6 linked regions of the Cricetulus griseus genome follow. The main gene of each other region encodes a partner of the protein of the gene in region 4 in a complex. Links are inferred from orthologs where the notes say so. Each region holds a gene or a part of one and is shown on either strand. Other genes may lie near its edges.

Region 1 (5,463 bases), on a different chromosome or scaffold from region 4:
GCTCTTCTCAGCCACGCCTGGGGAGACACAGGGCTGTCAGATCTTCCCTTCCTCCCCACCGTCTTGTTCTGCCCAATCCAGCCTCTGGAGGGAGACTGCAGGAAGGGGCTGTCTACCTCAGCCTGGCAAGGTGTGCACACTCCCAGGAGATAGAGGGCCAGGCCCAGAACTTTCCAAGGGTCCACCAACCAGCCACCCAAGGAGGAATACCCAGGAGTGCCCATGTTCCGTGCTACAGGAGTGCCATACTGACCCTGCCAGAGGAGGCCCATCCTACCTTACATAGGGAGAAGCAGTAAAAGGGCCGAAAAACAAGTCCATACAAAGGAGAAATGACGGTGGAGAAGGGAAGAAAGAAACAGAGTCCAAGAAGTAGCTCAAGAGAAGGTGGGTCTGGTCTGTAATCTCAGGACTTGAGACGCTCAGGCAGGGGGATCACAAATTTGAAGGCAGCCTAGGCTACAGGGAGCTCGGTACCAGCCTAGGCAACTTGAGACCTTGTCTCAAAAGGTAAAAGGCTGGTGGCGTGGCCCAGGACTAGAACACCTGCCTGGAGCCCACCAGTGAGGACCCGGGAGGCCTAAGCTTAGCAGAAGAAGGCATGACCAGAATCCACCAGTGAGAGCCCAGAAGTGTGGCTCCCTGGAAGAGCATCAGTCTAGCAGGAGTGAAGCTCTGGATTCCATTCCCAGTACAGCAAGGACTAAAATGAAACAAAGAGCTGGGCAGAGACGGAGGGGAGCGGAGCCTGGACCAAGCAAGCGGCAGGGAGCCCTAACAGACTGCATCTGGGGAGGTTTGGCTGAGTCCAGTTACCAGGCAGCCCGATCTTCGGCCTCAGGATCACTTCGAGTGTGGCCTTGTTGAAGATTTCTTTGCTGACCTTCACCTCGGCTGGCCCGTACACTCCAGCCAGGACAGAGGTGTCACCTGGGGAGACATCAGCAGAGGCCTCTGCCACACCAACTCTCTTCTCTGCCTTCTCATCTGTAACTGGAGACTACTGCAGTCCTTCCCTCGAGGCACTTTTGTCAAGATCACATGACAGTGGCTCACAGAAGCAGTAAGCCCAGTCTCTCAGTGTCACACAACAAGATCAAATAAATACCCATTTTAAAAAGATACAGATACTTGAAACACAGGATGCTGGCCAGTGAGTCCAGAGCCCAGCCCAGACTTCAGCTACTGGTGAGTTTTTAGAAGCAGTTGGGGCTGGAGAGATAGCTCAGCAGGTCGGCACCCACACTGCTCTTCCAGAAGCCTAGAATGCAGTTCCCGGCACCCGCAGGCTGCTCATAATCACCTTGTAACTCAGCTCCAAGGTATGGACACCCTCTTCTGCCCTTCTTGGGCACCCGTACACACAGGCACACACACGTATATCCTCCCAGTGTCTGGGAGGCAGAGACGGGAGGGTCAGGAATTCAAGGTCATCCTTGGCTCCATACTGAGTTCGAGGCCACCCTGAACTACACAAGACTATCTCATAAACCAACCAAAAAGAAATCCATTGTTACATATAATTAATATATACTATTAAAAATATTTTAAAAGGCCTTACAAAAAACAAACAAAAAAGGGTCTGTAGTTGCGTTGGGTAGGGATCTTAATCTCTGCTCATTTTCCCAGAATGGCATAAATGGGTCTGGAGGAAAAAAAGCCTGGCTTCTAGCCCTGATTGCCTATTCCAGGCCCTTGTGTGATTTTGATAACCTCTGTGGGCTACAGAGAAGCCATCTACAAAGTGAAGACACTGCACTCAAACAGTGGTTTCCACATGATTTTGACCGTAATGCCCAATGACCAATACACTCTATACCACAACTCCAAACTGGTAAATGCATGTGTATAAGTGAATCACAGGTGGGCTGGAGAGATGGCTCAGCAATTAAGAGCACTTGTCGCTCTTGTAGAAGACGATTCACAAAGGTTTGTAACCACAGTTCCAGGGGACCCAACATACTCTTCCGACCTCCTCAGGCACCAGGGAGAGCCATAAAACAAACAAACAAACAAAAACAAAACAACAAAACCCAAGGGGTTAGGGATGCTAGCATGTGCAAAGTCCAAAGGGAAAAACAAAACAAAAAAACAAGATGGCTAGCCAACAAAGGCAGGTGACAGGCTCATGGGCTCTGTAGGTTTTCACTGTTGGATTTTCTGGGATCAGGCCCTAGACAGTCTAAGCTGGCCTTGAACCTGCTATGTAGCTGAGTGAACCTGGCCTTGCCTCTACCTCCCTGGGGAACGTACCCCATTTTTATGAATCCTGTTTTTAAGTGAAGATACTACGCTGGCTAGTTTTGTCAACTCAGCACAAGTTAGACAGATCTGAAAGGTGGGAATCTCAACTGAGGAACTGCCTCCATCAGACTGGCCTGTAGGGTAGTCTGCTGGGGCATCTTTTTTTTTTTTTTTTGGTTTTTCGAGACAGGGTTTCTCTGTGTAGCTTTGGAGGCTGTCCTGGAACTCGCTCTGGAGACCAGGCTGGCCTAGAACTCACAGAGATCCGCCTGCCTCTGCCTCTGCCTCCCAAGTGCTGGTATTTAAAGGTGTGCGGCACCAACGCCCGGCCCAATCTGTCTACTTTTGATAGCTCCTCACACTCCCACGACCTCTCAAAGCTGGCTGACCGGCATTGGGTGGAGGCAGGGTTGTGTGGGTGTCAGTCGTGAGACGCCTCTTTTCTCTCTACAATCACTTACACTGATGAGATGAATACACCAAGCAACAGACACATTTACTCAAATGATGGGATGGGAGAAGGGGAGATACCTGTGGGTCCAGAATGGGGATCATCACGTTCAATGTGAAGGGCATTCGCGTGGACCAAGTCATCTGCTGCTGTCACCGCACTTGACCCAGCGGCGATGACAAGTCCTTCTCAAAGGGAATGCATGCAAACGAACACCTTAGCCTCAACCGGAGGTGTACCGATCCAGGAGAAGTGTGTGGAAGGAAATCTAGTCAAGGGGCCTATTCGCCTTGGTGAAATTACACCTGTTCTGGAATATCCACTCTTCCTAGGGCGTGCTCTTGCCCCTGATTCCTTCCAGGCTGGACGTATCAAATATTTTTTTGGTTGTTTTTTCGAGTCGGGGAAGAGGTGTGGACCCCTCCTACGTATCTAGAAATAGTTTTTTCGTTTCTTTTCAAAGAGATGGGCGCACTCGGTTGCACACTACACGGTAACCGCTCTTCCAAAAAAAAAAAAAAAAAAAGAAAAGAAAACAAACCCCACCAGGCGTTGGTGGCGCTCGCCTTTAATCCCAGCACTCGGGAGGCAGAGGCAGGCGGATCTCTGTGAGTTCGAGGCCAGCCTGGTCTCCAGAGCGAGTGCCAGGATAGGCTCCAAAGCTACACAGAGAAACCCTGTCCCCCCCAAAATCCCAAAAACCAAGAAACCCAAGCCCCCCACAGTGGGGCTGGGGATCAGGCTCTTTTTACCTTGCAGGAAAGAAGCAGATCCATCCGGCCGGGACAGCAGGTTCTGTTCGCAGGCGAAATGCCGGAGGCTGCAGCCGGGACTCCGCGGGCCGGGCTCCGCGGCGGTGCCAGCGCCCAGCTCGGCGTCCGCACGCTTCGCGATCTCCATCGCCGCCGAGCACGCGCGCCCCGCCTGCGGCCGTAGCTTCCGCCCCCGTGGTGCGCACGCGCGCGCTGGCTCGCTCGCTCGCTCGCGGGCTCGCCGGCTCGCGGGCCCGGCTCGCAGCGGCTGCGTGGCCGCTGCGCATGCGCCAGCCTGGGCGGCGCCTGACTCGTCCCTGGCACGTGGCTGAGCGTTTACTAACAATCTGGTCCCGCCCCGCCTCCGCCTCCCGATTCTCGCAAAGCCATTGGGCCAGAAAGGAGAGGGGGCGGGTCTTGGAATAGGCCCACCTCGCCCAAGGCCCCCCGGCCCTCAACCCGTGAGCCTGTGGTCAGGGTGTCCCTTTCCTGCCTGATATCGGAGCCGCTATAAGCGGAAGGCTAGAGCCACGGCGGAGGATAATCAGAATCGGCACGCGCACTTAGGTTCGTGTCTTGGACTCACGGCGGTGGGAGTGAAGTCGCTTGTTGGCCCGACCGTGCCGGCATTTGAGGACGGCATCTGGTGGGGCAGCCCCGGGTCCAGCTGGGGAGAGAGGAGGCGTGGCTATCGAGCGAGATGGCGGCGGCGATGTGGAGACAGAGCCGGGGCCTGGCTGCTCTCCTGTCGCTGCGGCGGCCTGGGGCGCGGGGCTTGGCTAGATCCGTAAGTACCTGGGCCCCACGGGGTCCCTCCCGAGGTGGCTGCGGACGCAGAGGTTGCTCTTACGGTGTGTGCGGGTCGTGAAGGAAAGAAAAGGACGCGGACGCTCCTTGGAGAGAAGAGTCAGGGGAAGAGGGAGAAAACCGGGGGTGGGGTGGGCCAGGATCAGCCCCACGTTTCTTTATTCCGTTACTTAAAACTCCACTTGTGAAGCTGGGTGAGCAAGAAGCTGATTGGACCCCTGCGGTCCCCGATCAGAAGCGAAGGCGGGGGCCCGGGCGCGATCACTGTCACAGGCCATCGGGGTATGTTGGTTGATGTCATGAAGGGAGAAATCCACACAGGACCCTTTGTCAACGTTGTTTTTTAAAAATTATTCCTTTTTTTGTAGATTTTATTTATTATATATACAGCATTCTGCCTCCACATATGCCTGTTGCCAGAAGAGGGCACCAGATCTCATTACGGATGGCTGTGAGCCACCATGTGGTTGCTGGGAACTGAACTCGGGCCTCTGGAAGAGCAGTCGGTGCTCTTCACCTCTGAGCCATCTCTCTCCAGCCCATATTTTTTTTAAAAGATTTTATTTATTTATTATGTATACAATATTCTGCTTCCATGTATCTCTGCACACCAGAAGAGGGCATCAGATCTCATAATAGATGGCTATGAGCCACCATGTGGTTGCTGGGAACTGAACTCAGGACCTCTGGAAGAGCAGTCGGTCTCTCTCCAGCCCCTGTCAATGTTATTTTTTAAGGCAGGATCTCACTGAGTAGTCCAAGATGGCCTTTAACTAACACACTCCGAGTCCCACCCAGACTGGCATGGCACTAGAGACAGTCCTGTCTCAATCTCCCACCTGGAGATCCACTTTTCTTGAAAACACTTGAGGAAACTCGAGAGTCCCTTTTGATACATTGTTGCTGAGGGCAGGTATGGAGGTCTGGTGCTGTAGCTAAGTGACAGAGTGCTTGCCCAGCGTGTGCTACAACCAGAATTTGACTCCTAACCTCATGTGCTCTGGGTATGGTCAGGCATGACTAATCCCAGCACTTGTTGGGTAGAGCCAGGAAGGTCAGGAATTTGAGGTCAGTCTGAGCTATATGAGACCCTGACTCAAAAAAAAAAAAAAAAAACCCTAAAAGATTGAAAAAAGAAATCAAGTGCCTGGGGTGGAGATGCAGGATTTTGATCCTAGCACTTAAGAGGTAGAGACAGGTGGATCTACT
Region 2 (4,355 bases), on a different chromosome or scaffold from region 4:
TTCCTTATTTTGTGTTTTTGGAAGACCGTTGGTCACACCCATGCAACCTGAAGTAACCTTCCTGGGGCTAGGGCAATGCAAGTGGAAGCATGGTTCTGGCAACCCACCCAGAAAACCTCCCAGTGGTTGTGGGTTTAACGTTTGAGGTCTTTTCCATGAGTCCAGGGGTGGGCAGGGTAGGAAAGTCCCACAGCCAGCAGTATCTCACCATCCTCAGTCTTGCAAGAGGACCCCGACAGGGCCCTGAACCCAAAGAGCACTATTAGCCCTCACTGAATGAATGCAGACTGCTTATTTTCCTTCCCCGTGCACCACTAAACCTGGTGTGGAAGCTCTTTTCTTCAGCCACAGTAGTAAACACACTTGTGTCCCTGCACTGACACTGAACTGTGAGATTATGTGTGTACCTACCTAACCAGCCCCTTTTGGTTAAAGCCACCACAATGTGCCCTACAAAGCCATAAGCTACTCTTCAAAATAAGCAGATAAGTTTTATGTCATTTTTTTTTAATCTTGATTTTCACTGGTATACTAACTTCAGATTTGCTCTACAAAGAGTCATGCCAGAAGGGAAAAAAATAAAAATGTATTTCTCCCTCCTGGTCAGGGGCTCCTATGAGGTCCTCATAAGAGGCTGAACAGACCTCTAGGATAGTTACCTGTAACAGTCATACACAGCTGCCTTCAACTCAGCCTCAGTGAAGATCAGGAACCCTACACTCCTGGTCAGTAAAGCCAGCTCTGCCTAAGGAATAGCCAGGCTGTAAATGTGCCACAGTTTTTAGGAGTTCTTCCTCCTCGTAGTTCATTGCTGCCCTAGCCAAGACTGGACAGGAGACACCATATAATGAAGCCAGACCAGGACTCCACTTTTTTTTTTCTTTTTTCCTTTTTTGCAACAGGGTTTCTCTATGTAGCTCTGGCTGCCCTAGAACTCAGAGATCCACCTGCCTCTGCCCCACCAGTGCTGGGTTTTAAAGGTCTGCACTATCACTTCTGCAAAGTCATGGAAACCTCCAGTTATGCTACCCTACTGGCCAAAGAAGGGAGTGACAGGGCTTCTTTCTAGAGCATAATCCTTTCCAGTTACCCAACTCCTAGACATGATCTTGTGCTTCAAAGGAGAGGATAGGTGTGCACCCAGATTTCTGAGGCTATTTAACTCTCCTGTCGTTTTGTCGGAGACAGGGTTTCTCTGTGTAGCTCTGGCTGTTCTGACATCTCCTCGGTCTTTTCACCTCAGACACTGCTCCTAGGGCAGGAGGTTTCTCCTCTAAAGCACGTTACTCCTTTTCACTTACAGTGAGCTAAGAGACAGGAAAATTTAAGATAGTACTGACAATACAGTCAATACTGGCAATACAGACTCAACACATGCCCAGTTCAAAACGGCATTGTTTCTAACTGTAGTACCAAGAAAAGCCACAAGATGTATTTTCAGGTATAAAAAAGGTTTTTATGTTTTAGTTCGGGTAGTGAGAAGGCAAAGTCCCTTGTCCATCCTCTCAAAAGAAGCAGTTTATCATACACTGGAGCCAATGGCTGGCCTGCACAGGGTCCATCCCTTACAAGAACACAGCTCATTTACCAGGTAATCCAGCCGAAGTCCTTTCCAACTTGGGAGTAAGGCTGCTAAGGCCCTTTAAACCGTTCCAACACAGCTGTCCAGCGCTTCGGTTCAGTGCGCGCTGCCTCCCACTCTCGTTTCTCAGCTCGGCCAAGGCAGGCGACCAGCAGCCGGGCCGTTTGGGAAAGAAGGACATCAGCAGTCATCCGCATCCTTGTTGCTCGGGTTTTCCAATCAGGACGGGGCGGCGGCGCCCCTCCGGCGGGCAGCTCGCACCAAGCACTGCTGCAGCACTGGGTAGAGGCGCTGGCAGCCTTCCAGGCCCAGGCGCACCGCGTCCGTCCAACTCTCAGTCTGGCCGCCTTCCCCGCTGCCCAGCAACCCGGCCACCTGATTGAGCACCGGCATGAGCGCCACCGTGAGGCCGGCTGCGGAGTGCTCCTCCTCGAGCCGCGTGGGGTCCAGCAGCCAAGTGGGCGAGGGTCCCGGTGCGAGGCTCAGGCCGCAGCCCACTACCAAATCATACATCTCCACTCCCGCGTCGGCCAGGGCGAGCGCCGCGGCCGTGAGAGCCGCGGCCAGCGCAGAGCCGCCGTCCTCCAGCAGCAGCGCGGACACCTCGAGCTGGGCGCGAGGGTAGCGCCCCAGGCGCACCGCGGGCTCCAGAGCCTCCTGCAGCGCCAGACTCAGCTCGCGCTCCTCGCCGCCGCCCTGGGGGGCGCGACGCCGGGGGCCGGAGAAGGGCGCGCGGCGGAAGTCACAGAGCAGGCGGCCACGGAGGGCGGCCGGAGCCTCGCCGCCCGCTCCCGCAGGGCCGCCGCCGCGCTCGCCGCCCTCGGCCTGGCGCGGGCCCGACACGGCGCAAAGCACCTTGGTGCCTCCGGCCTCCAGGTAGGCCGAGCCCTTGGCCTGGCTCAGCAGCCCGGCGCGCGCGTACACCGGCCGTAGCCGCGTCGGGTCGCGGGCAGCAGGCAGCTCGTCTTCGTCGGCCGCGTACAGCTGCGGCGGCTGAGACTCCTCCGGCCCGCGGATACGACGGTGGTCTCCCGGCATGGCGGCTACCGGCGCACGAGCCACTTCCGCCTGCTGGGCTACCTTGCGCACCGGCTCTTCCGCTTACTTAAAACAGGCGCGCCCGCGCGCAGCCTGTCGGGAGAGCGGTAGGTGGATGCACTGCCACCTAGAGGTGTGGAGGAGGTACAGCTGGACTTGGCCCGCGCTGTGACCTGGCCTGATCTTAATGACTCTTAACCTGTTAAGGTTATTTCTTGAATTTTGCATTTACACTTTCTTTTTTTACATAAACTTGCACAACATCAGGGCTTTTTGTTCACTCCTGTACTCAGTCCCCCAGCTGGCTTCAACACTTGTTTAATAAACTGATGGAAATTTCTCTTCCTATACTGTGTGTACACAGACACACACACGCACGCACGCACGCACGCACGCACGCACGCACGCATATATGTACATTTCTAACACCCTGAGGAACTGGCATGAGCAGGCAACATCTCTACCTCCCACACACTACTGCTTCCAGACTCTGCTGTTTGTAGACTCAGACTAATTACATTTTAGGCTGGGCCAGGCTTGAACTACTTTAGGTTAAGAAACACAGATAGGACAGTTACTGGGAGACAGACACCTCCATGCTTATACTTCCTATATTAGTTTTCTGACCTCATATCAGCAACTTCAAAAGGAGGTAGAGATGAGACATACATGGTCCAAGGCATTAAGAGGTTGTCCCAAGAGACTGAGAAAGGTGTTTTTCCACTTGAGAATTTCTGTAGAAACCTTCCCCACTCTATTGAATGCCTCAATTCAGCCCTTCCATTATGTCTCTGCCATCCCAGGGGCCACTCCTAAAGTTCAGGGGTCTAGGGATGTATTCTGTGATCATTTCAATCAGAAACTAGCTGGAACTGCAGCCTGTATTCTGCAGACATACAGGGAGTCAGGGTCCACCCCGGGGAGAAAAAGTAGAATGCATTTATCAAGTATTGCACATGGTCCTTTTTATTTTCTGCAACAAAAAGGCTTCCTACCTGCAGATGACCTAGAAGCCTCAGGTCGGCAGAGTGGTCTTATCTAGACATGATCACGGTGATGTTCAACAGCATTCCTGGGGTAGTGATTCTAGACAGATGGTGCTGACAGTATGGCTCAGAGCAGTAACGGAAAGGGGCAATAAGTCACAGGACAGCTCCAGGTATGTTCCAGTTACTGCTGGATTAGGACGGATAGGGCGACTGAAAGGTCCCAAGACTCAAATGTCTTCATGGCAGGGGAGCTCCTGGGTGCACTCCTGCATTCTGACACATTTGTTTGATGGGGAAACGCTTCCCAGTGAGGGCTTCTCTCCTGTCAGTTCTTCACATCTCCCAGGCGGAGCTGGGCAAAGGAGGTAGCCAGCTGCAAGGCTTCCTGGAGGCAGCCCACGTTCTTGCCTGTGGCCTGGGCAGACACATCCTTGCCACCTCCTTTACCATCCATCAGGCCTGAAACCTGCTGCACCCATTCGCTGGCTTTTAGGCCTCGGTTGGCTGCATTCTAGAAGACAGGAAGGGGAAATGGTAGTTAGAATAGAACATGGGATTGAGATGGGGAACAGAGGGACACCACAAGGAGGGGAGCCACCAACACGACTCATATCCTGGGTGATGCTACCAGAGGCCAAGACTGACTCTACAGCTGCGACAGGGGAGCAGCTATGGCCACTGTCAAGGTGAGAACAAAAAGCAATGCCAGGCACCAGCCAGTAGTTAACACATCTACCAACAGGAAG
Region 3 (5,334 bases), on a different chromosome or scaffold from region 4:
TGGTGAGAGCTGGCTCCACAGAATAGCAGAATCACCAGTTATTAAGCAACAACCACTTCTGTCTCACAGGTGTCAATGTCTTCTGTTGAAGAAAAAAGTCTGCATGTTTAACAATTCTAGTACTATCTGTGAGCACATGGCCCTCCTGCCCTCAACACAAAAGCCTACATAGCCTTTGTTTTAATCTGCCAGGGTTGTATCAAGTTAGGAGGGTGAAGAAGTCAACCATTTTGAAAATTCACTACTTGCTACCTAGCCATGGCCCACTCCCTAACTGTCTAACAAGCTGACTGCAGCACAAGTTGTCCTTTCATTGGTCCACTACACCCAGGGATTAAACAGCTTGCCAGCATCTTGCCAAATTTGGAGGAAATATAGTCTGTTGACTGTCCTGTCCCCAAATCTAAAAATTGGAGTTGGCAGCAAGAAATGAACAACTGACATAGCTCAAGGTCAAGGCCCTCTGTACTGCTGGAGAATTGAATAAAATACTCATTGAAGATACCAACTGAGAGAAATGCTTGTTTCAGATAACTCCAAAGCCAGAAAACTTTAAGTTCTTAAGTTCCTGAATTGTGTGTGGGTCTGGGATTTAACAGTTTTTTATCTCGCTGTTAGTGAAAGGACTCTGACCATCTCAAGTATGGCAAGCATGGCTGTGGCAAGCTTTATCCTCCCCCCACCCCATTCCTTCTGCCTTGCTAAAAACCGTTAGATCACATCCCTAAAGCTACTCCCAAGGTCTATTCCTTCATTTGGCTACTTTCTCCTTCTGAGACTGACTACCAAAGTCCAGCTATCAAAATCCCCCTTTGGTTCACCTAATTAACATGCCCAATCTAAATATATGCTAGCATCCTAGTCTATTTTGATGCAGACCTCTTTTTTCCCTTCTTAAAAACTACACCTTCAGGCTGGAGAGATGGCTCAGAGGTTAAGAGTACTGACTGTTCTTCCAGAGGTCCTGAGTTCAATTCCCAGCAACCACATGGTGGCTCACAACCATCCGTTATGAGATCTGGTGCCCTCTTCTGGTGTGCAGATATACATGGAAGCAGAATGTTGTATACATAATAGATAAAATCTTTTTTTTTTTTTTTTTTTAAAAACTACACCTTCAAAGTTACTTGCTGTTTTTCTGCCCGAGTCAGAAAGCAGCCACTTTAATTTTTCTTCCCTGATTAATAAAGGATCTCTCTGTGAAATAGGTGTTTGAGGAGTGTGTGCTTCTAATCCGGTCCAGGAGAGAGCCCCCTGCCCCCCCATTCGGGCTTTCCTTCAATTGGTGTGCTCCAAAAGAAATAGGGGCAAGAATTGTTCTGAGTTACTGATTTTCCTAAGCCATGTAGAGATAACTCAAGTAGGTGAAAAGGTGTGATATGTGTTGCGCGCGGGGGTGGAGTGGGGGTGGCGGGGGGGGAGCCCTAGAGTGTAATACACATAAGTGTTACATCTATTATGTACAAATGATAGGAACTACAGCTGAAAACACAGCAAAGGAGACAAATGAGTAAGACTTCCGTTGTTCTTTCTTTTTAATAATTGATTTTTATTTCATATGCATTGGTATTTTGTCTGCATGTGTATCGGTGTGAGGGTGTTAGATCCCCTGGAACTGGGGTTACAGGCAGCTGTGAGCTGCCTTGTGGGTGCTGGGTCCTGTGGAAGAACAGCCAGTGCTCCTAAACCATGAAGTCATCTCTCCAGCCCCTATTGTTGTTCTCCCATTCTTTATATTTTACAGAATTTAAATTGGTAGCAACGTCCAAACAAGTCATACTTTGCAAACCCTTTTTTCCCAGTTAAAATTTCAGCCACCTTTCTGTAGGCTGAATGGAAAGTAAAGCCTCCAAACCCAATACCCAGGGGCCCTTAGTTCCAGCACCCGTAGAGACTAAGCCGAAAGACCTGACACGGGATGTGAGGGCTCCAAATGAACTCCAGCTGGGCGTCTCTTTCACCCACCCGCGGAGAAACCACAGGGTGGGTGGGCTGATAGCTCAGATACGGGTGTTTGGGGGTGGGGAGGAGGGGGTACCGAAGAGAGGATGTGACTGGTTGGCGGTCTGAAGTCTATTTCAGAAAGCCCACAAAAACCGGAAAGGGATAACCCTGGAGGGCGGGCTCTTGGATGCGGAAGCGGAAGTAAAATGCCGGAAGCTGCGACGACTCCTGCTATGGCTGAAGTACTGTCGGTTGGGAAAGAATCGGTGGCCGGCTGCCGGGCGCGGGTAGCGCACAACGTGCTGAATCAGGTGGTTCTCCCTGGGGAGGAGCTGGTGCTGCCGGAGCACGAGGACGTAGACGGCCTTGGCGGCGCCGGGGAGCAGCCTTTACGTCTGAATTCGGGGGCGCGCCCGCGGCTGCGCGTCGTGTGTGGCCCGGGTTTACGACGCTGCGGGGACCGCCTGCTGGTCACCAAGTGTGGCCGCCTGCGCCACAAGGAGCCCGGAGGAGGCGGCGGTGGCGTTTACTGGGTGGATTCTCAACAGAAGCGGGTGAGCGGACGTTGGAGAGGCCGTGCTGCTGCGATAGTGGAATCCCAGTTCTGGGAAGACTCCCTGCAGCGGGGAGGAGAGGATGAGCTCAGCCTAGAGCCGCGGTGGCTTCTAGGTCCCCTCTGCATCTTCTTTAGAGGAACCACAGTAGAAACACAGCTTGAGAAGGGAGAAAGGAGAAAGGGGCTAGAAAGTAGGAAGCCGCAGGCGTGCCATGTGGAGTCCCAGTTTCAGTGAGTCTAAATAACAGGGAGTTAAATTATTCGTAGAGTAAGAGCTTTCATGTAGAAGTGTCTAATGGGTGGGTTTCCTTGACTGTAAGGATTCTTGTGCCGCCGGATGTATAAAAGATGCTGAAGTATGAAACCTGACTCAGGTCAACTACGGATTAGAGACAACAAAGTTGGATTGGTGCGGCCCGGTTTTGTAGTCCCAGCTACCTGAGGAATATGAGTTGGGAGGATTGTTTGAGACCCATCCTGAGCAACCTTGCTAAAACTTACTGCATATATGTTACAGTAGTCTTTTATGGTTGTTCTTTCATTATGTTTTGCAGTACGTACCCGTGAAAGGAGACCACGTGATTGGCATAGTGATTGCTAAATCTGGAGATATATTCAAAGTTGATGTTGGAGGGAGTGAGCCAGCTTCTTTGTCTTACCTGGCATTTGAAGGAGCAACTAAAAGAAACAGACCGAATGTGCAGGTAATGATGGGAGCCTTTGGTTTCAACAATAAGGCAAAAATAGCCACTCCCCAGAAATTTAGCTGCCCAGAGGACTTCCTGATTTGTCTCCAAAGCATAAACTATCCTTCAGATTCTCCAAGATAGTTCCTTAGGCGCTGCAGCTCCAGAACCAGTGCTGTGTTCTTGGTTCTTCTCTCCCAGGTTGAAGGGTTATGTTTGCTTCCCCTTGTTACCTGTGAGGTTCATATCCATATCACAAGGAAAGTGTCCCTAGTCTAAGGGACACTGGTACTGTCAGTCATCTATCTCTTCATCTTGGCTCTGAATCCTTGGAGCTGACAGAAGAGTGATCTTGTTACTACAGGATTTCTGGTTGGTTTAGCTGTATCCTTCCTGAGGATACATGTGAGCCAGAAATTTGATGGCATCTGTGCTACTTTTCTTTCAACTCTCACAGGTCTTGAGTCATTTGATCTTATTTGTTCCATCTCTTGTCTTTTGCATGCCTTATCCCTTTGTGTCTATGAGTTCAAGCATTTGCTCATTTTTGACAAAACTGGGCAGCAATCTCATTAACATTCCAGCTTCCATCTGTTAATATCCTCATGTTGACATTCCCTTTTTAAAGGTTTTATATGTGTGGATTTTTTTAAAAAAAGATTTAAGTATATGTGAATGCTCTATTGACTTTATGCCAGAACACAGCATCAGATCCCACTATAGATGGTTTTGAGCCACTATGTGGTTGCTGGGAATTGAACCCAGGTCCTCTAGAAGAGCAACCAGTGCTCTTAACCACTGAGCTATCTCTCCAGCTCCCATATTCCATTTCTTAACAGGAAAAAAAATGTTCAAATCATAGAGAATTCATTGGCATTGTGCCCCAGGGGTCTTCCCTCATATTAGCACTTCATGCTAATATGCTTAAGTTTCACAACACCACTGAACTTGGTTCCTTTGGGTCTTTAGTAATGGTGCTCTTCTGTCTGGATTGCAGTCTCTCAGCCTATGAGACAGACATCCATCCATTGAGATCCAGGCTAAGCACGACTATGTAAAGTCATTCATCATCATCACTTTTCCTGTATCTTTACCATGGTACTGGATTTATTCTTGAACTTGTCATGAGTTTATTCATTCTTGTTGCCCTGTAGAAGATCACATGTTCTTGAAAGGCATAAAGTGTCTTATGATTCATTCCCTCTAAGTTTTGTAGTCACCCAAAATGGTGGGTACTTAAATATTATTAATGTATGCATATCGAGGGTGTTTTGGCTCTATGTATGTATTTGCCCTCTATATGACTGATGCTTGTGGAGGTCAGGCAGGAAGGTCGGGTCCCCTGAAACTTAAGTTATGAATGGTTGTGAGTTGCTAGGAGGGTGCTAGGAACCAAACCTGGGTCCTTTGCAAGAGCATCAAGTACTCTTAACCCGTGAGCCATCTCTCCAGCTCTCAACAGTGGGGATTTTTAATGTTGAAATTCATTCTGTTTCCTCAGCTTCATCATTTTAAAGTTCAGTTTTGTAACATTTTAAATCTAGAGCTGGATGGTACTGGTGCACACCTTTTATCCCAGCACTTGGGAGGCAGCAGCAGGCAGATCTCTGAGTTCGAGACCAGCCTGGTCTACAAGATCTAGTTCCAGGACAGCCTCCAAAGCCACAGAGAAACCCTGTCTCAAAAAACCAAAAAAAAAAAAAAAAAAAAAAGGATTTCTGGATGAAGGGAACTTTTCTGCTTTTCTGTCTTATAGGTTGGAGATCTCATCTATGGCCAGTGTGTGGTTGCTAATAAAGACATGGAACCAGAAATGGTCTGTATTGACAGCTGTGGACGGGCCAATGGAATGGGTGTGATTGGACAGGATGGTCTGCTCTTCAAAGTGACTTTGGGCCTAATTAGAAAGTAAGTTATGATACTTGTTAACTGCCCTCCTTTAATGAAAATTTAAGCTAGGTGGTGGTGGTGCAGACCTTTAATCCCAGCACTTGGGAGGCAGAGGCAGTCAGCTCTCAGTGAGGTCGAGGCCAGCCCTGGTCTACAAAGAGAGTTCCAGGAATGTATCACAGGGAAACCCTGTCTCCAAAAAACAAAAACAACAATAACAAAATAAAATAAAATAAAAAAGATACCCTGGAGCTGTAG
Region 4 (4,694 bases):
TGTGAAGCTCACCTACTGGTTAGAATAGCTGGCTAATGAGCCCCGAGGATCTACTTGTCTCTGCCTCCCAGTATTAGGATTATAGGCATTTACCACTCTGCTCAGTTATGTGGGTACTGGGGATTTGAACTCAGGTTCTTATCATGTGAAGCAATCACCCTAACCACTGAGCCATCTTTGCATTCATCTGACCCTTTCTAGCGTTCCCCCAAATATTTCCAGGTTGTGAAGAACCTGGGATAGGCCACTCCTTAGTGCTGTTCCCACTGACACTCTTTTTGGATGAAGAATTCAATTCCACAGACTTTGAAGATCCCTCGTGGAAGGCCTCACCCTCCCTGGGGAGCAGAAAGGGTATGGGATAGGGTGTTAGGGGCAGGCAGGGGAAGAAGGGAGGGAGAGGGAACCAGGATTGACATGTAAAACAAGCTTGTTTATTTCTAATTTAAATAAAAAATGGAAGAAAAAAATAATTCAATTCCTCATCCTGTGATAGAGTTAGGTGACTCTTTACATGGTCAAAGTCAGTATTCTCAGACCAAAGTGCAGCCACTGGGGATTAGAGGAGGAGAGACTTGCTGAAGATAAACACCGTCACTGGCAGGGCCTGACCCCAGCCCCAAAGCTCTACCCACTGCTCTCCCAGCCCTAAGCTGGGGTCCTGGATGTGAACGGGGAAGACACATGGATAATGAAGGGGTAGGAGGCAGCATGCTGCCCTAAGCAGGCTTGCCCCAGCACCATGGACTTACCTCCATCATCTCAAAGATGCTCTCAGGATCCAGGCTGCCCTTCCCCACCTTCCTCATGCAGGTCACAACTCCCTTGCTGGTCACTGACACTAGCAAGCTGGCCAAGGAGCAGGCCTCCTCCTGAAGTGTGGCATCCACCACATGCCGGCAGCCAATCTGCAAGATCAGGGCTGTTTAACATACATGTGAACAGTAGACCAGAGATCCCAGATCCCCCTGACACAAGCCTACAAAGGCTGTACATGCATGGCTCGTTCCAGATCTTATTTTAAATTCTGCTTGTTTGGAAAATGCTGGAAGGAATGTTCAACATTGTTAATATGGTCCATTGTGTGAATAATATAATAAAAAGACAAAATGTCAACAAGCAGTTTGGGGGCAGAGAGTCCACCAGGACAGAGACCACCAGGCTTTCCCACAGGGAACACAGGCAGGAAATGCATATGTGAGGCCCCACGGCTTCTTGTTCACTCCAACAGTGAATCCAGAAAGCCCAGCTAAGGGACATACAAAATAATGCCACCCTCCAGAGCTCTGTTTAGTCCCAACGCCCTGTGAACATTTCTTTACAATCTCAGTTCTCAAAAAACTTCCAGTGGTATTAAGTGACTGAAATGTGTGATTTTGGTTTTGTTTTGTTTTGAAACAAGGTCTTTGTTGTGCAGCTATGCTGACGAGGTACTTGATATATAGGCTAGGCTGGTCTCAAGCTTGCAGTAGTCCTACTGTCCCCACCTACTGAGTTCTGGAATTATAGACATGAGCCACTGCACCTGGCTCAGCTTCATTTTTATATAACGAGTCTCTTGTGGAATTAGTCACAATCCCAGCCAACACAAGCCTGAGGCTATGCCAGATGTCAGAGTCAGAAAACCTCTGGGCTCCGTGCAAACTATACTTGGCATGTGTCACCTAGGACTGGCCCCAAGCCCTCAGTTCCTGTATGTGGACATCAGGGTCCATAGAGGAATACTGTTTGAGAACCTACCGGTGTTCAGCTACCTTGGACTCTGGAGTACAGGGAGTTAATGGAAAATGAGCAGTGCAATAGAGTGCAGAGCCTGCAGAGGGACCATGACAGCCAGACTGCTAATGAAGCAGCCTTCCCTTGGGACTCGTCTGTACCTAATGGAACCGAATGATGAGATGTGGGTTAAAGCTACATTTGTAGGGTTTGCACAACTACAGCCTCTCAGCTTATGAAGTAATCTCAAGAGCCTAGGGTTGGAAGAGATCCGCCTCCCCACGGAAGGCAAGAATGCTAAGAGACAAGCTCACACCTTGCACAGGGTGACGATGCAGGGCACATTCTCTACACTCAAGCGGATACAGTCGTAAGGATCGTCAGACAGCTCGATGTCCTTTGCCCCCTCTTCATCCTCCAGAACACGAACCCGTGGTATCCTGGGAACAGAGGCATGATTGAAATTTCCATCTCCTGGAAGGAGGAACCATAACCTTTTTTGAGATCAGGAACCGAAATTCTTTTTTGTTTGTTTGTTTTTGTTTTTGTTTTTTCGAGACAGGGGTTCTCTGTGTAGCTTTGGAGGCTGTCCTGGAACTAGCTCTGTAGACCAGGCTGGCCTCAAACTCACAGAGATCCACCCACCTCTGCCTCCCGAGTGCTGGGATTAAAGGCGTGCGCCACCAACACCCAGCGAAATTCTTTTTTTATAAGCAGGAATTTCGTTAACTCCACCTTGTTTACATCCTCGCTACCTGTCAAAAGTTGAGGCTAGAGCTTCTGTGTCAGGGACTCAGAGTGCTAAGTGTGACATCCTCAGAGTGCTCATTGTGACATCCTCAGAGTGCTCTAAGTGTGACATCCTCAGAGTGCTCTAAGTGTGACATTCTCAGAGTGCTCTAAGTGTGACATCCTCAGAGTGCTAAGCGTGACATCCTCAGAGTGCTCAGTGTGACATCCTCAGAGTGCTCATTGTGACATCCTCAGAGTGCTCATTGTGACATCCTCAGAGTGCTCAGTGTGACATCCTCAGAGTGCTCATTGTGACATCCTCAGAGTGCTCAGTGTGACATCCTCAGAGTGCTCTAAGTGTGACATCCTCAGAGTGCTCTAAGTGTGACATCCTCAGAGTGCTCAGTGTGACATCCTCAGAGTGCTCATTGTGACATCCTCAGAGTGCTCATTGTAACATCCTCAGAGTGCTCATTGTGACATCCTCAGAGTGCTCAGTGTGACATCCTCAGAGTGCTCATTGTGACATCCTCAGAGTGCTCAGTGTGACATCCTCAGAGTGCTCTAAGTGTGACATCCTCAGAGTGCTCTAAGTGTGACATCCTCAGAGTGCTCATTGTGACATCCTCAGAGTGCTCATTGTGACATCCTCAGAGTGCTCATTGTGACATCCTCAGAGTGCTAAGTGTGACATCCTCAGAGTGCTCATTGTGACATCCTCAGAGTGCTTATTGTGACATCCTTAGTGTGCTCAGTGTGACATCCTCAGAGTGCTAAGTGTGACATCCTCAGAGTGCTCATTGTGACATCCTCAGAGTGCTCTAAGTGTGACATCCTCAGAGTGCTCTAAGTGTGACATCCTCAGAGTGCTCTAAGTGTGACATCCTCAGAGTGCTCATTGTGACATCCTCAGAGTGCTCATTGTGACATCCTCAGAGTGCTCATTGTGACATCCTCAGAGTGCTAAGTGTGACATCCTCAGAGTGCTCATTGTGACATCCTCAGAGTGCTCTAAGTGTGACATCCTCAGAGTGCTCTAAGTGTGACATCCTCAGAGTGCTCTAAGTGTGACATCCTCAGAGTGCTCATTGTGACATCCTCAGAGTGCTCATTGTGACATCCTCAGAGTGCTCATTGTGACATCCTCAGAGTGCTCAGTGTGACATCCTCAGAGTGCTCAGTGTGACATCCTCAGAGTGCTCATTGTGACATCTTCAGAGTGCTTATTGTGACATCCTTAGTGTGCTCAGTGTGACATCCTCAGAGTGCTAAGTGTGACATCCTCAGAGTGCTCAGTGTGACATCCTCAGAGTACTAAGTGTGACATCCTCCTTGAAGTGGGCAGTAAGCAGTGTGAAACAGGACTGATATGCCAAAATAGACGTCTGTATATTTACACACACACACACACACACACACACACACACACACACACACACACGGGGGGGGGGGGAGTAAGAGGAAGGTGGCTGAGAGAGAGAGAGAGAGAGAGAGAGAGAGAGAGAGAGAGAGAGAGAGAGAGAGAGAAAGAGAGAGAACTTTTAATTTCTTAATTCTTTGGGCCCAACATAGGCAGAGGATTGGGGAAGACAGAGTGGCATCAACTCTTCTGGAGGACTTCAATGTACAAAGTTCTTTCTATCTTCTATCCAAGGGCATCATGGGGTCACTGTTCCTTGCTGCCTGAGAGTGAGACTGATAGCTGTTCGTGATCTGGGTAGCTAGGTTTCACAAGCTGACATCCATTTTCTCAGGACTCCCTCACAGCAAAACAGCTTCCCCAACTCCCTGGCACCCATGCGAACCAGCTAGCCAAGAAGACTCATCTCAGAGGCTAAGCCACTTCTGATGACAACCTTCTTTCCCATTTCCACAAAGCCTGGCTGCTGGTGGTGGTGTGCTCTAGCATGCAAACTCTCATCCTGGTGGAGTGTCTGGACCACCTCTCATAAGGTCTAACACACACACACACACACACACACACACACACACACACACACACACAGCTGGTGGTGGTATACTCTAGCATGCAAACTCTCTTCCTGGTGGAGTGTCTGGACCACCTCTCATAAGGTCTAACACACACACACACACACACACACACACACACACACACACACACACACACACACACACAGATCTGGTGGTGGTGTGCTCTAGCATGCAAACTCTCTTCCTGGTGGAGTGTCTGGACCTCTCAGAGGGTCTAACAGAGTCCAGTGGCACAGGGCACAATCGAGTAGAGG
Region 5 (5,327 bases), on a different chromosome or scaffold from region 4:
CACACACACACACACACACACACACACACACACACACACACACACACACACACACACACACACACACACACACACACACACACACACACACACACACACACACACACACACACACACACACACACACACACACACACACACACACACACACACACACACACACACACACACACACACACACACACACACACACACACACACACACACACACACACACACACACACACACACACACACACACACACACACACACACACACACACACACACACACACACACACACACACACACACACACACACACACACACACACACACACACACACACACACACACACACACACACACACACACACACACACACACACACACACACACACACACACACACACACACACACACACACACACACACACACACACACACACACACACACACACACACACACACACACACACACACACACACACACACACACACACACACACACACACACACACACACACACACACACACACACACACACACACACACACACACACACACACACACACACACACACACACACACACACACACACACACACACACACACACACACACACACACACACACACACACACACACACACACACACACACACACACACACACACACACACACACACACACACACACACACACACACACACACACACACACACACACACACACACACACACACACACACACACACACACACACACACACACACACACACACACACACACACACACACACACACACACACACACACACACACACACACACACACACACACACACACACACACACACACACACACACACACACACACACACACACACACACACACACACACACACACACACACACACACACACACACACACACACACACACACACACACACACACACACACACACACACACACACACACACACACACACACACACACACACACACACACACACACACACACACACACACACACACACACACACACACACACACACACACACACACACACACACACACACACACACACACACACACACACACACACACACACACACACACACACACACACACACACACACACACACACACACACACACACACACACACACACACACACACACACACACACACACACACACACACACACACACACACACACACACACACACACACACACACACACACACACACACACACACACACACACACACACACACACACACACACACACACACACACACACAACACACACACACACACCCAACCTCCCACGCTTAGGCCAAAACCTTGCACTATCAACCTTGATTCCGGTCACACTCTGGGATAAGCTCAGCACAAATTCTACTAATGGCACCTTAAAATGTATGAAGGAAACAGACATCCAGACTGGAAAACAGCCCTCAACCAGCATCCTTACACTCCCCAGGCCCACCTGCCCAGGGATGGACTGGGCTTTCCCAACAGACATGCCCACAGACCAATCTGATGAAGTCAATTCTTCCGTTTAGGTTCCTGCTTACCAAGTTAACTCTAGATTTATGTCAAGTTGGCAGCTGAAGCTAACTATGACAAACAGCTGAATTCAACACAGCAGGCCCGTAACAGGCCAGATTGTGGAGTGTGGGGAGATGGAAGAGACCTGTGTGCAACCCAGATGCTCTAAGAAAGAGCTCCATTCCTTCCGTGCTCACCTGGTTTTCAAGGCTTTCACACAGATCAGCTTGTTCACTCTCTCCACAGAGCCAGCCACAGACGCAATGAGCTTCTCCTCTCCCATGTATGTTCCATGGCCCCTGTTGAAGGACAAGACCAAAGAAAAAATACCATGTCATACTGGAGGTGACCTCTCCCATCTAGAAGAACTTTCTTGAAGCTAACAGGCTCCTCCTGCCCTGAGCCTGATGCACTCCTCAGAGCTACACGGCATCTCCTTCAACCTAAACAGGTCAACTCAGATGTCACTTTCCAACAACCTTCCTCCCAGGCAACACAGGAGCTCTTCCCACTGCTGTCTCACCCACCCTCTTCCCAGCTGCTCCCCTGATCCACTGCAGTTAAAACTCCCATATATATATATATATATATTATATATATATATATATATATATATATAATTTATTTAACTTTATTTTATGTGCAGTGGTATGAAGGTGTCAGATCCCCCAGAACTGTAGATACAGACAGTTACAAGCTGCCATGTGGGTGCTGGGAATTGAACCCAGGTCCTCTGGAAGAGCAGCTAGTGCTCTTAACCACTGAGCCATCTCTCCAGCCCCTGCAGTTAAAACTTTCTAATGGCATTTCTTGTTTCTGTCTCATTGCTAGATAAATTATAAATACCACCTGGGCACAGGTTTTCACTTTTGTACCTCAACCACACAAGATATGTTGAAAGTATGACGGAATGAATCCTAAGATCTCTACTATCCATTAATCTCAACCTTAAAGCTTACAGGCAATGTTATAAACACTTTAACCTCATTTATACCAAAAAAAAAAAAAAAAGAAAGGGAAGGGGAAAGGAAGGGAAGGAGAACCAGGTGTGGTAGCCACATATTTGAGCCCAAAACTTGGAAGGAAAAAGCAGGGGGATCTCTGAGTTCCAGGCCAGAGTGGTCTACACAGTTAAGTTCCAAAACAGCCAGTAGTGTTTCATAGTGAGACCGTTTCTCAGAGTGAGAGGGGAGAGACTGGCTACCTAACACAGATTTATCTTTGGTGGTAATCCAATGGTGGATTTTGCTTTTCTGCCTTCCTCTCCAGTTCCTCACTACCCTACCAACTGCGGTCGTCACCACTGTCTTCAGGGTAAGGATACCAAATTTAGCAAGGTGCTACTGCTACTGATAACAATAATGATGGCAGTTGTCCAGCTCCAGAGTTTACCCTAACTACCACACGATGTCTGCCTTTCAAGCACTGTATGTTGGCTCAACCCCCGGACCCCAATCACTGCTTTAAAACCAGCCTCCTTGCTGAGGTGACACCGAGGGAGGTGACCAAACCAGCAACGCCCACTGTCCCTGCAGGGGGCTCTAAGAATGGTCCCGCTCCCAGCCTCCACAGTTAACCCTCCCCAGGAAAGCTCAAAAACCTTGCTTCAGACTGAGGACTCAAAAGTTTCGGACGCCATAGATCAGAGGGAAACATGGGCTGAAACAGGTTCACCCAAGAAGAAGGGAGTCAGAAGCACGAGGCTCGGAAAGGAGAGGGTTACTGTGGGTGCTGGATGTGACCCGGGTAACTCGGTAACTTAGATACCAGGGGACAGGAGGCCACGTGCAGAGCTCCGCAGCCGCCTCCTGGGGCCTTGGGTCCCCCAAATCCTCACGTACCGCATGAATCCTGTATCCGTGGTGATCGTGTCCCCCGGTACAACCAAGTGTTTCTTAGAGTCGCGGCCCAGGCTCTCACTGAGAGGTTTGCGAGCCTTAGGAAGCCTCATCTCCATCGCCATCTTGGCGCCAATGACTTGCGCAGGCGCAGCTCTATTCTCTAGTCTCGGCGCAGCAACTTCCGCCCACCTTCAGAGCGGCGACCAATAGAAATGCATGGTGTAGCGGCCATTTTGACTATTGGCAACTATTAAGTTAACCTGAGGGAGGGAGGAGGGCACCAAGCTGCCATTTTTACTACTGGCAAGGAAGCACCTGTGGAATAATAAGTTATCTCGTTGTAGTGGAGTATGATGTTGATCTGATTTGGCGTCGGGATGCTGGTTTTGGTTTTTTGTTTGTTTTATTTTGAGAAAGGGTCCCGTGTATGACTGGCCTCAAACTCTGTGTAGTCGAGGATAACCCTGCTGAATTCCTGATCTTATGCCTCCACTTTCCAAGAGCTAGGATTACACAGGTTTGAATAGGTTGAGTTTTTGTTGCTGCTGCTGCTGCTGCTGCTGCTGCTGCTGCTGCTGCTGCTGCTGCTGGTGGTGGTGGTGGTTTTCGATTTTGATTGGTTTGTTGTTTTATGTATATAAGAGTTTTGCCTATATGTATGCCTTTGTACATGAGTGTCTGGTGCCCACAGAGGCCAAAAAAGAGTATCAGATACCTTGAAACTGTAGCTACGGATGTTTGTAAGCCGAATTGTGGATGTTGGGAATCAAAACCAGGTCCTCAGAAAGTGCACGCAATGCTCTTAACCATTGAACCATCTCTCCAGCCCTGGGTTTAGTTTTTTTTTTTTTTTTTTTTTTTTGAGACAGGGTCTCATGTAGTCCAGGATGATCTCAAACTGGCTGTATAACCCAGGATATTCTTGATCTTCTTCTCCTCCTCCTCCACCTCCCAAGTGCTGGGATTACAAGTGTGAACCATCATGACAAGCTGTAGTATACATTTTTGCCCAAACTTTTCCATATTCATCATTCTATTTATTGTTGGCCAAGTGTGGAGATTGAGAGATGAACCTCAAGCTTTTCCATCCAACTCTAAACCACTACAGTCTAGTGTTTTATAGGCTAGAGATCAGGACTTGGAGGCAAGATTTACAGAAAACACCGCCTGAGCAGAAGGTAGAGCATTTTGAATACTGTTCTTAATGGGCTTTGTATTCTATGTTAGAGCTGCCCCTTAGGTGCTGATTTGGGTCCTTGCCTATTTGCCCCCATGGCTCTCACTGTAGTTTAGTAAGGACCTCTTCTGAGTGAGTATAGAGAGTATTTCTTTTGGAAGATGACTGTTGTGAAAGCCAGCCACGTGTGGCAAGGAAAGTGTATTTGGTAGGGAGGCCATGTGTACACACAACACAAAGATCTTTGCTTATACTCACATATCTAGCTGATTGCTCTCTGATCGGTTGTTCAGTAGTGAATGGAAAATAAGACAGCTGTCTCCTGTGGCTTTACTTGAGCCTTCTGTTTAACAGAGGCATTTCCCTGGGCCCTTCTCCTCACCATTCACTAACCCCCATTTCCCCTGGTGCTTCGAGGTTTGAGGCTTACTGAATTTGTCTTTTGTTGTTTGTTTTTAGACAAAGTCTATCTATGTAGCCCTATCTAGCCTAAACTTGCTAGGTAGACCAAGCTGGCCTTGAACTCACAGAGAGCTGCCTGACTCTGTCTCTGCCCCTCTGCCCCTCTGCCCCTCTGCCCCTCTGCCCCTCTGCCCCTCTGTCCCTCTGTCCCTGCTTCTGCCTCTGCACCACCATACCCTGCCTCAGCACATTGAATTTCAACCTCACAGAATCAGCAACATAGTTCTCTACTCAAATGGGTCCCTAAAGAAAATTAAGCCAAATCTGGTTGTCTCCCTCTTGAAGACTCACTTGGTCAATTGTTTATAAATTTCCAA
Region 6 (4,944 bases), on a different chromosome or scaffold from region 4:
ACGTGACCTGAGTATCAGGTATTGAGTCATTTCTATGGATGTCTAAAACCTTAATACAGTGGGCTCACCTAAGTGATGGGCCAGAATCAAGGCCATCAAGGCCAGATACAAGGGTTTTGGAAAGTTGGTATACTACCACTGGCTAAACCGAGGTGAGTGGAGTACAAAGTGAAAAGCATATTGCTTTTGTCCAACCACAAGGCACCTGCATAGTGGGCAGAAGACAAAGAGGTGGATGAAGGCAGTTTGTCTAAATGGTGCAGAGGTAAGGATAGATGGCCAAGAGGCAACCAGAGCTTGTTATTATTTTAGAGTCCAAGTGGTAGAAATGGCCCAAGAAGATTCCTGAGGAAAGATTTCAGGCCAGTGGTTCTCAACCTTCCTAATGCTTCAACCCTTTAATGCAGTTTTTCATGCCCAACCATTCATAAACATAGTTTTGCTGTTATGAAGTTTAATGTAAATATCTGAAATGCAGGATATCTGATATTTGTCCCCCAAAGGGTTGAGACTCTCATGTTGAGAACTGCTACATTAGTCTAGCCTTACACCTCTATGATAGGCAAGCATAGCCAGTTGAGTTCTACCTCAGCCTTGTGCAAAGGTCCCAGATGGGCTGGATGAACATGGCATATTCCTTAGTGTGAGGGCTTAAATACTCTTTTTTTTTTTTTTTTTTTTTTCCGATTTTTTCAAGTCAGGGTTTCTCTGTGTAGCTTTGGAGCCTATCCTGGCCCTTGCTCTGGAGACCAGGCTGGCCTCGAACTCACAGAGATCTGCCTGCCTCTGCCTCCCAAATATTGGGGTTAAAGGTATGCGCCACCAACGCACGGTGGGCTTAAGCACTCTTGCTCTTCCTAGCACAGGTAGGGGCATTGCTACATACTCTGCTTTGCAGGGCTCTGAGCTGCTCTGTATAATAAGGTGTGTATAGCAGAGGAACAGGCCTTTATTTTGGATATGGGTGGTTGGCACTCAGTCCCCCAGTAAGATAGAGGCCTCCTGCACATGCTGCCGGACTACACGATCCAGCAGAGTGTGCACATCTCTGGCTGCTTGGGCAGCAGCCTCTAGAACCTGCTCCAAGTGGTCTTCATGCAGCCTTGAATCCATCTCAAGCAGTGCAATCTGGCCTGAGGCTGGCAATAGGGCCAGGGCTAGCTGGGGACCTCCAGCTGCTTCCTCCACATGGCTGAGGTCCGACAGTGCTGTGCCATCCACAAAGCCAGCTGAGCATGCACATACAAAGTCCCGCATGGGTATCCCAGCATCCATCACTGCCAGCGTGGCTGCATTTACACATGCTGCATAGGTTCCACCATCTGCCTGCAGTACCTGAAGGGGCATCAGGACATGAGACTCACATCTCAACCTTCAGCATGTCAGGCCCACCTCATACAGCCACCCCACCCCCACCCCCGAGCCCACCCACTCCTGGTGGTGGAGGGGTTTGAAGCTGCAGCTAGCTCACCTGCACATAGATGTCAATCTGAGAGCGTGGGTGCAGCTGTGTGAGGATGGCTGCCTCAAAGGTCTGGCGTAGTTGCAGCCCCATCTCACAAGACTTACGGTCCCCATGAGGCCTTCGCTTGCGCTCACCAGTGCTGAAGGTTGCTGAACTATACTGACAGTTCACTAGAGCCCGGTCAGGCAAGGCTCGAGACCTGGAACCCCGGATCTGGAGGAGAAATGAACACAGGTGTCAGGCCTACCTCCTGGGTCACACTCAACCCACAGGACTCAACCTTTCTCCTCCTCTTCCTCTAGTGCTTCAGAAAACAGCGGCTACCTGGCTTCCAAATCAAATCCTAGCTGGAGGGAGGCTTTTCAGACTAAACCATAAGTTACCTTTGGCAGGCAACTCTTTGTTCTACAGTAGCTCCATTTCCTCCCAAATTATTCCCATTGTGGCCACCACATTTACAAACATCTGGTCCGTGTCACCTATACACTAATAATTTACCTATCTACCAGGGGCTCCCCATTACATGTAAAACAAAGTCTCAGTTTCCCGACTTTCAAAGTCTTGGGTCCACCCCCTTGGTAACTACTCAACTTTACTTGATCTACTGCCTCTCTACCTACCAATAGTCGGCCCTGATGTGTTCTATACCCGACTATCACCCTGCCTTCCGCCTAGAAAGCTGAACTCTCATATACCAACCAAACTGTAAAATGTGCGTGTTTTGCTGGCCTTGACACAGCACTGAGACACAGCAATAAAGGTAGACAATTACATCGAGAGTCCCTGTATTGGGAATTTATGTTCCAGTAGAGAAAGAAGCGACGCGGAAGACTCAGTAAAACCGATGTAGTTAGTAAGCGCAGACAGGCAAATAGTGTTGCAGTGGCCTGGGGAGCTTCTTCCCGCCAAGAAGTCAGAATAATGAGCTGAGAAAAGGGGGAGTGAGTGGAGCTTCGCCAGGCCGGCTGAGGCACCTCAGAGACTATGAGGGCCCACTGGCGGGAGGAACCCGCGCCCGGTCTCTTACTCGCCTCGTGAGGCCCGTAGACCACCGCCAACGCCTTGGTGTTGCCCTGCTCGATATAAGCCGAGCCGTCGGCCTGCGCAAACACGCCCATACGCGCTTGGATCTTGCGCAGCTCGCCCGCGCGCCGACCGTCTATCCGGTAACCCTGGTCGGACAGGAGCTCCAGTCCGGCCATGTTGTACGACCCCAGCTCCGCCTCCCAGAGCACAGCGCTTTAGGACTCCAGCTTCCACGACCCATAGCTTCCGGCGGTCCGTACCTTTTTCGGTCTCGGTAAACTACAGCTTCCGGAGAACTAGTCCCTTTCCGGTCCGATGGAACTACAGCTCCCAGCATTCTCGGCTTTCTAAATGTACGGGTCTGGCCGAGTACAGAAGGCCCGAGCAGAGCGTTTTGCGGCTTCTCCCGGGTCGGTAAAGGAGGAAGGCACTGAAGACGGCCTTCTCCTTCTGGACGTCTTCGGTTTGTTGGAGACTCTCTTCCCAGCGGAGACATTTTTTTGGTCTTTTTTTTTTTTTTTTTTCGAGACAGGGTTTCTCTGTGTAGCTTTGGAGCCTGTCCTGGAACTAGCTCTGGTAGACCAGGCTGGTTTCGAACTCACAGAGATCCTTCCGTCTCTGCCTCCCAAGTGCTGGAATTATAGGCGTGAGACACCACCGCCCGACTTTTTTTTTTTTTAAGATTTATTTATTCTATGTACAAGTGCTCTGTCTGCATGCACTTTATGCCAGAAGAGGGCATCAGACCCCTCTATAGACGGTTGTGTGCCACCATGTGGTTGCTGGGAATTGAACTCAGGAGGAGGAGTAACCAGTGATCTTAACCTTTAAACCATTTCTCCAGCCCTGGTCTTTCTTATTTTTTAGTTGTATATTTTCATTTTTATTGTATGAAATTTCTGTTCGTTTCTTGTTTTTTTGAGACAGGGTTTCTCTGTTTAGCTTTGGAACCTGTCCTGGAACTAGCTCTGTAGACCAGGCTGGCCTTGAACTCACAGCGATCCGCCTGCCTCTGCCTCCCGAGTGCTGGGATTAAAGGCTTACGCCACCAACGCCCAGCTAGCAGCTGCATGGTTGTATAGCAGCTTTTGGAGTTCTAATTCTTTTTTAAGATAGGATCCTTTAGTGTTCACCTTTTTTGGAGTGCTTCAACTCAGAAAATATGAAATCCAATCGTCCTGAGGTCTCTTTGTTGTTGCTTTTTGGAATCTGGATGTGTATCTCAGGTTGTTGTGGTTGCTTTTTTGAGTGTTTAATGTATTTCAGGTTGGCCTTGAACTGGCAGTCTTCCTACCAGAGCCTTTCTAGTGTTGTGATTATGGGTGGGGCCACAACGTCCGGCTTGGATTGTGTTTTTGTTGTCTCCTTCATACCTATGGGGTATATATAGCAGGTTGCATTCCCACCACTTCCTCTTTAACTGCCCCATGTGTCCCAGGGGCTTATAATTAAGTGACACAATTCCTGGCAGAGGGCTTCTGAGTCTGGATTCCAAATGTGTTATCTTTCTCACCCAGGGTAAATAATGATGTTGTGGTGGTTGTTTGTGGTGTGTGTGTGTGTGTGTGTGTGTGTTAAGATAGGGTCTTGCTGTAGCCCCAGCTGGCTTAGAACCCAGAGATCATGCTGTCTCTGCATACTTAGTGCTCCACCACACCTAAAAAAAAAAAAAAAAAAGCTATTTGTGTTCATGCTTGCATGCCGAGTTCAGAACACAACTGTGGAATCAGTTTTCTCTTCCCACCTTTATATGGGTTCTAGAGATTGAATTTAGGTTGTGAAGACTTGGTGGCGAGTGTCTATCCAATGGCCTGTCTCGATGGTTCCTGATGTTGTTGATGTTATAGATAAAAGACAATACAGATGCATAGAAAGGAAACTGGGTTGAAATTACCCTTCAGATGGGCTGTATTAGGAAAGTTATGGCATCATTGTTACAGATTGCAATGATGAGGGAGAATAAACATTCCAATTGTTTGTTGTGGATTAGCAGAGTTAGAACATCACACTAGCCAGGTGTGGGGGTAGCACACGCCTTTAATCCCAGCATTCAGGAGGCACAAGCAGGAGGATCTCTGTGAGTTCAAATCCAGCCTAGTCTACAGATGGAGTTGAGTTCCAGGACAGGCTCCAAAGCTACACAGAGAAACCCTGTCTTGAAAAGCAAACAAACAAAAATCCTGAGGCAATTCAGTATAACCACCTGTGGTAAGGACCAGCAGTACACTAGAAAAACAACCCAATCCAACAGGGACAACAGGTGCTGGGATCACCCTGGGGTGCTGGACAGGGCTTCTGAGGGTCAAGAGCTGAAGGTGGCTCATCCAAGCCGCATCAGCAGGGCTGACTCCTATTCTCTGGTGCTCAGCCATCATGAAAGCACAAACACTGTGATGAGGTTGTTAGGGTCTCTGTGGTAGACTATTTCTCCAGCCCAACACAATATATCCAGC

Evidence for each region.
Region 1: Exosc7 (region 4) and Exosc5 share a complex: the UniProt entries of both Homo sapiens proteins name them as parts of the RNA exosome core complex. The link is inferred for Cricetulus griseus from reciprocal best matches to the Homo sapiens genes EXOSC7 and EXOSC5.
Region 2: Exosc7 (region 4) and Exosc6 share a complex: the UniProt entries of both Homo sapiens proteins name them as parts of the RNA exosome core complex. The link is inferred for Cricetulus griseus from reciprocal best matches to the Homo sapiens genes EXOSC7 and EXOSC6.
Region 3: Exosc7 (region 4) and Exosc3 share a complex: the UniProt entries of both Homo sapiens proteins name them as parts of the RNA exosome core complex. The link is inferred for Cricetulus griseus from reciprocal best matches to the Homo sapiens genes EXOSC7 and EXOSC3.
Region 5: Exosc7 (region 4) and Exosc2 share a complex: the UniProt entries of both Homo sapiens proteins name them as parts of the RNA exosome core complex. The link is inferred for Cricetulus griseus from reciprocal best matches to the Homo sapiens genes EXOSC7 and EXOSC2.
Region 6: Exosc7 (region 4) and Exosc4 share a complex: the UniProt entries of both Homo sapiens proteins name them as parts of the RNA exosome core complex. The link is inferred for Cricetulus griseus from reciprocal best matches to the Homo sapiens genes EXOSC7 and EXOSC4.

The regions. Positions count from the first base shown.
Region 1 is NC_048602.1:9,460,061-9,465,523, forward strand, and holds the start of Exosc5 (exosome complex component RRP46), read right to left. Parts: upstream 3,644-5,463; 5' UTR 3,596-3,643; coding exon 3,448-3,595; intron 931-3,447; coding exon 817-930; intron 18-816; coding exon 1-17. Other genes in the region: Bckdha (2-oxoisovalerate dehydrogenase subunit alpha, mitochondrial), read left to right, coding at 4,148-4,234. UniProt on the Homo sapiens protein: Non-catalytic component of the RNA exosome complex which has 3'->5' exoribonuclease activity and participates in a multitude of cellular RNA processing and degradation events.
Region 2 is NC_048596.1:187,461,477-187,465,831, reverse strand, and holds Exosc6 (exosome complex component MTR3), read right to left. Parts: upstream 2,697-4,355; 5' UTR 2,621-2,696; coding exon 1,802-2,620; 3' UTR 1,378-1,801; downstream 1-1,377. Other genes in the region: Aars1 (alanine--tRNA ligase, cytoplasmic), read right to left, coding at 3,935-4,120. UniProt on the Homo sapiens protein: Non-catalytic component of the RNA exosome complex which has 3'->5' exoribonuclease activity and participates in a multitude of cellular RNA processing and degradation events.
Region 3 is NC_048595.1:98,137,676-98,143,009, forward strand, and holds the start of Exosc3 (exosome complex component RRP40), read left to right. Parts: upstream 1-2,141; 5' UTR 2,142-2,150; coding exon 2,151-2,498; intron 2,499-3,054; coding exon 3,055-3,204; intron 3,205-4,942; coding exon 4,943-5,094; intron 5,095-5,334. UniProt on the Homo sapiens protein: Non-catalytic component of the RNA exosome complex which has 3'->5' exoribonuclease activity and participates in a multitude of cellular RNA processing and degradation events.
Region 4 is NC_048597.1:230,058,654-230,063,347, reverse strand, and holds part of Exosc7 (exosome complex component RRP42), read right to left. Parts: intron 2,157-4,694; coding exon 2,033-2,156; intron 909-2,032; coding exon 753-908; intron 1-752. UniProt on the Homo sapiens protein: Non-catalytic component of the RNA exosome complex which has 3'->5' exoribonuclease activity and participates in a multitude of cellular RNA processing and degradation events.
Region 5 is NC_048599.1:143,391,530-143,396,856, reverse strand, and holds the start of Exosc2 (exosome complex component RRP4), read right to left. Parts: upstream 3,519-5,327; 5' UTR 3,494-3,518; coding exon 3,372-3,493; intron 1,830-3,371; coding exon 1,728-1,829; intron 1-1,727. UniProt on the Homo sapiens protein: Non-catalytic component of the RNA exosome complex which has 3'->5' exoribonuclease activity and participates in a multitude of cellular RNA processing and degradation events.
Region 6 is NC_048595.1:373,625,505-373,630,448, reverse strand, and holds Exosc4 (exosome complex component RRP41), read right to left. Parts: upstream 2,750-4,944; 5' UTR 2,668-2,749; coding exon 2,497-2,667; intron 1,679-2,496; coding exon 1,472-1,678; intron 1,336-1,471; coding exon 976-1,335; 3' UTR 930-975; downstream 1-929. UniProt on the Homo sapiens protein: Non-catalytic component of the RNA exosome complex which has 3'->5' exoribonuclease activity and participates in a multitude of cellular RNA processing and degradation events.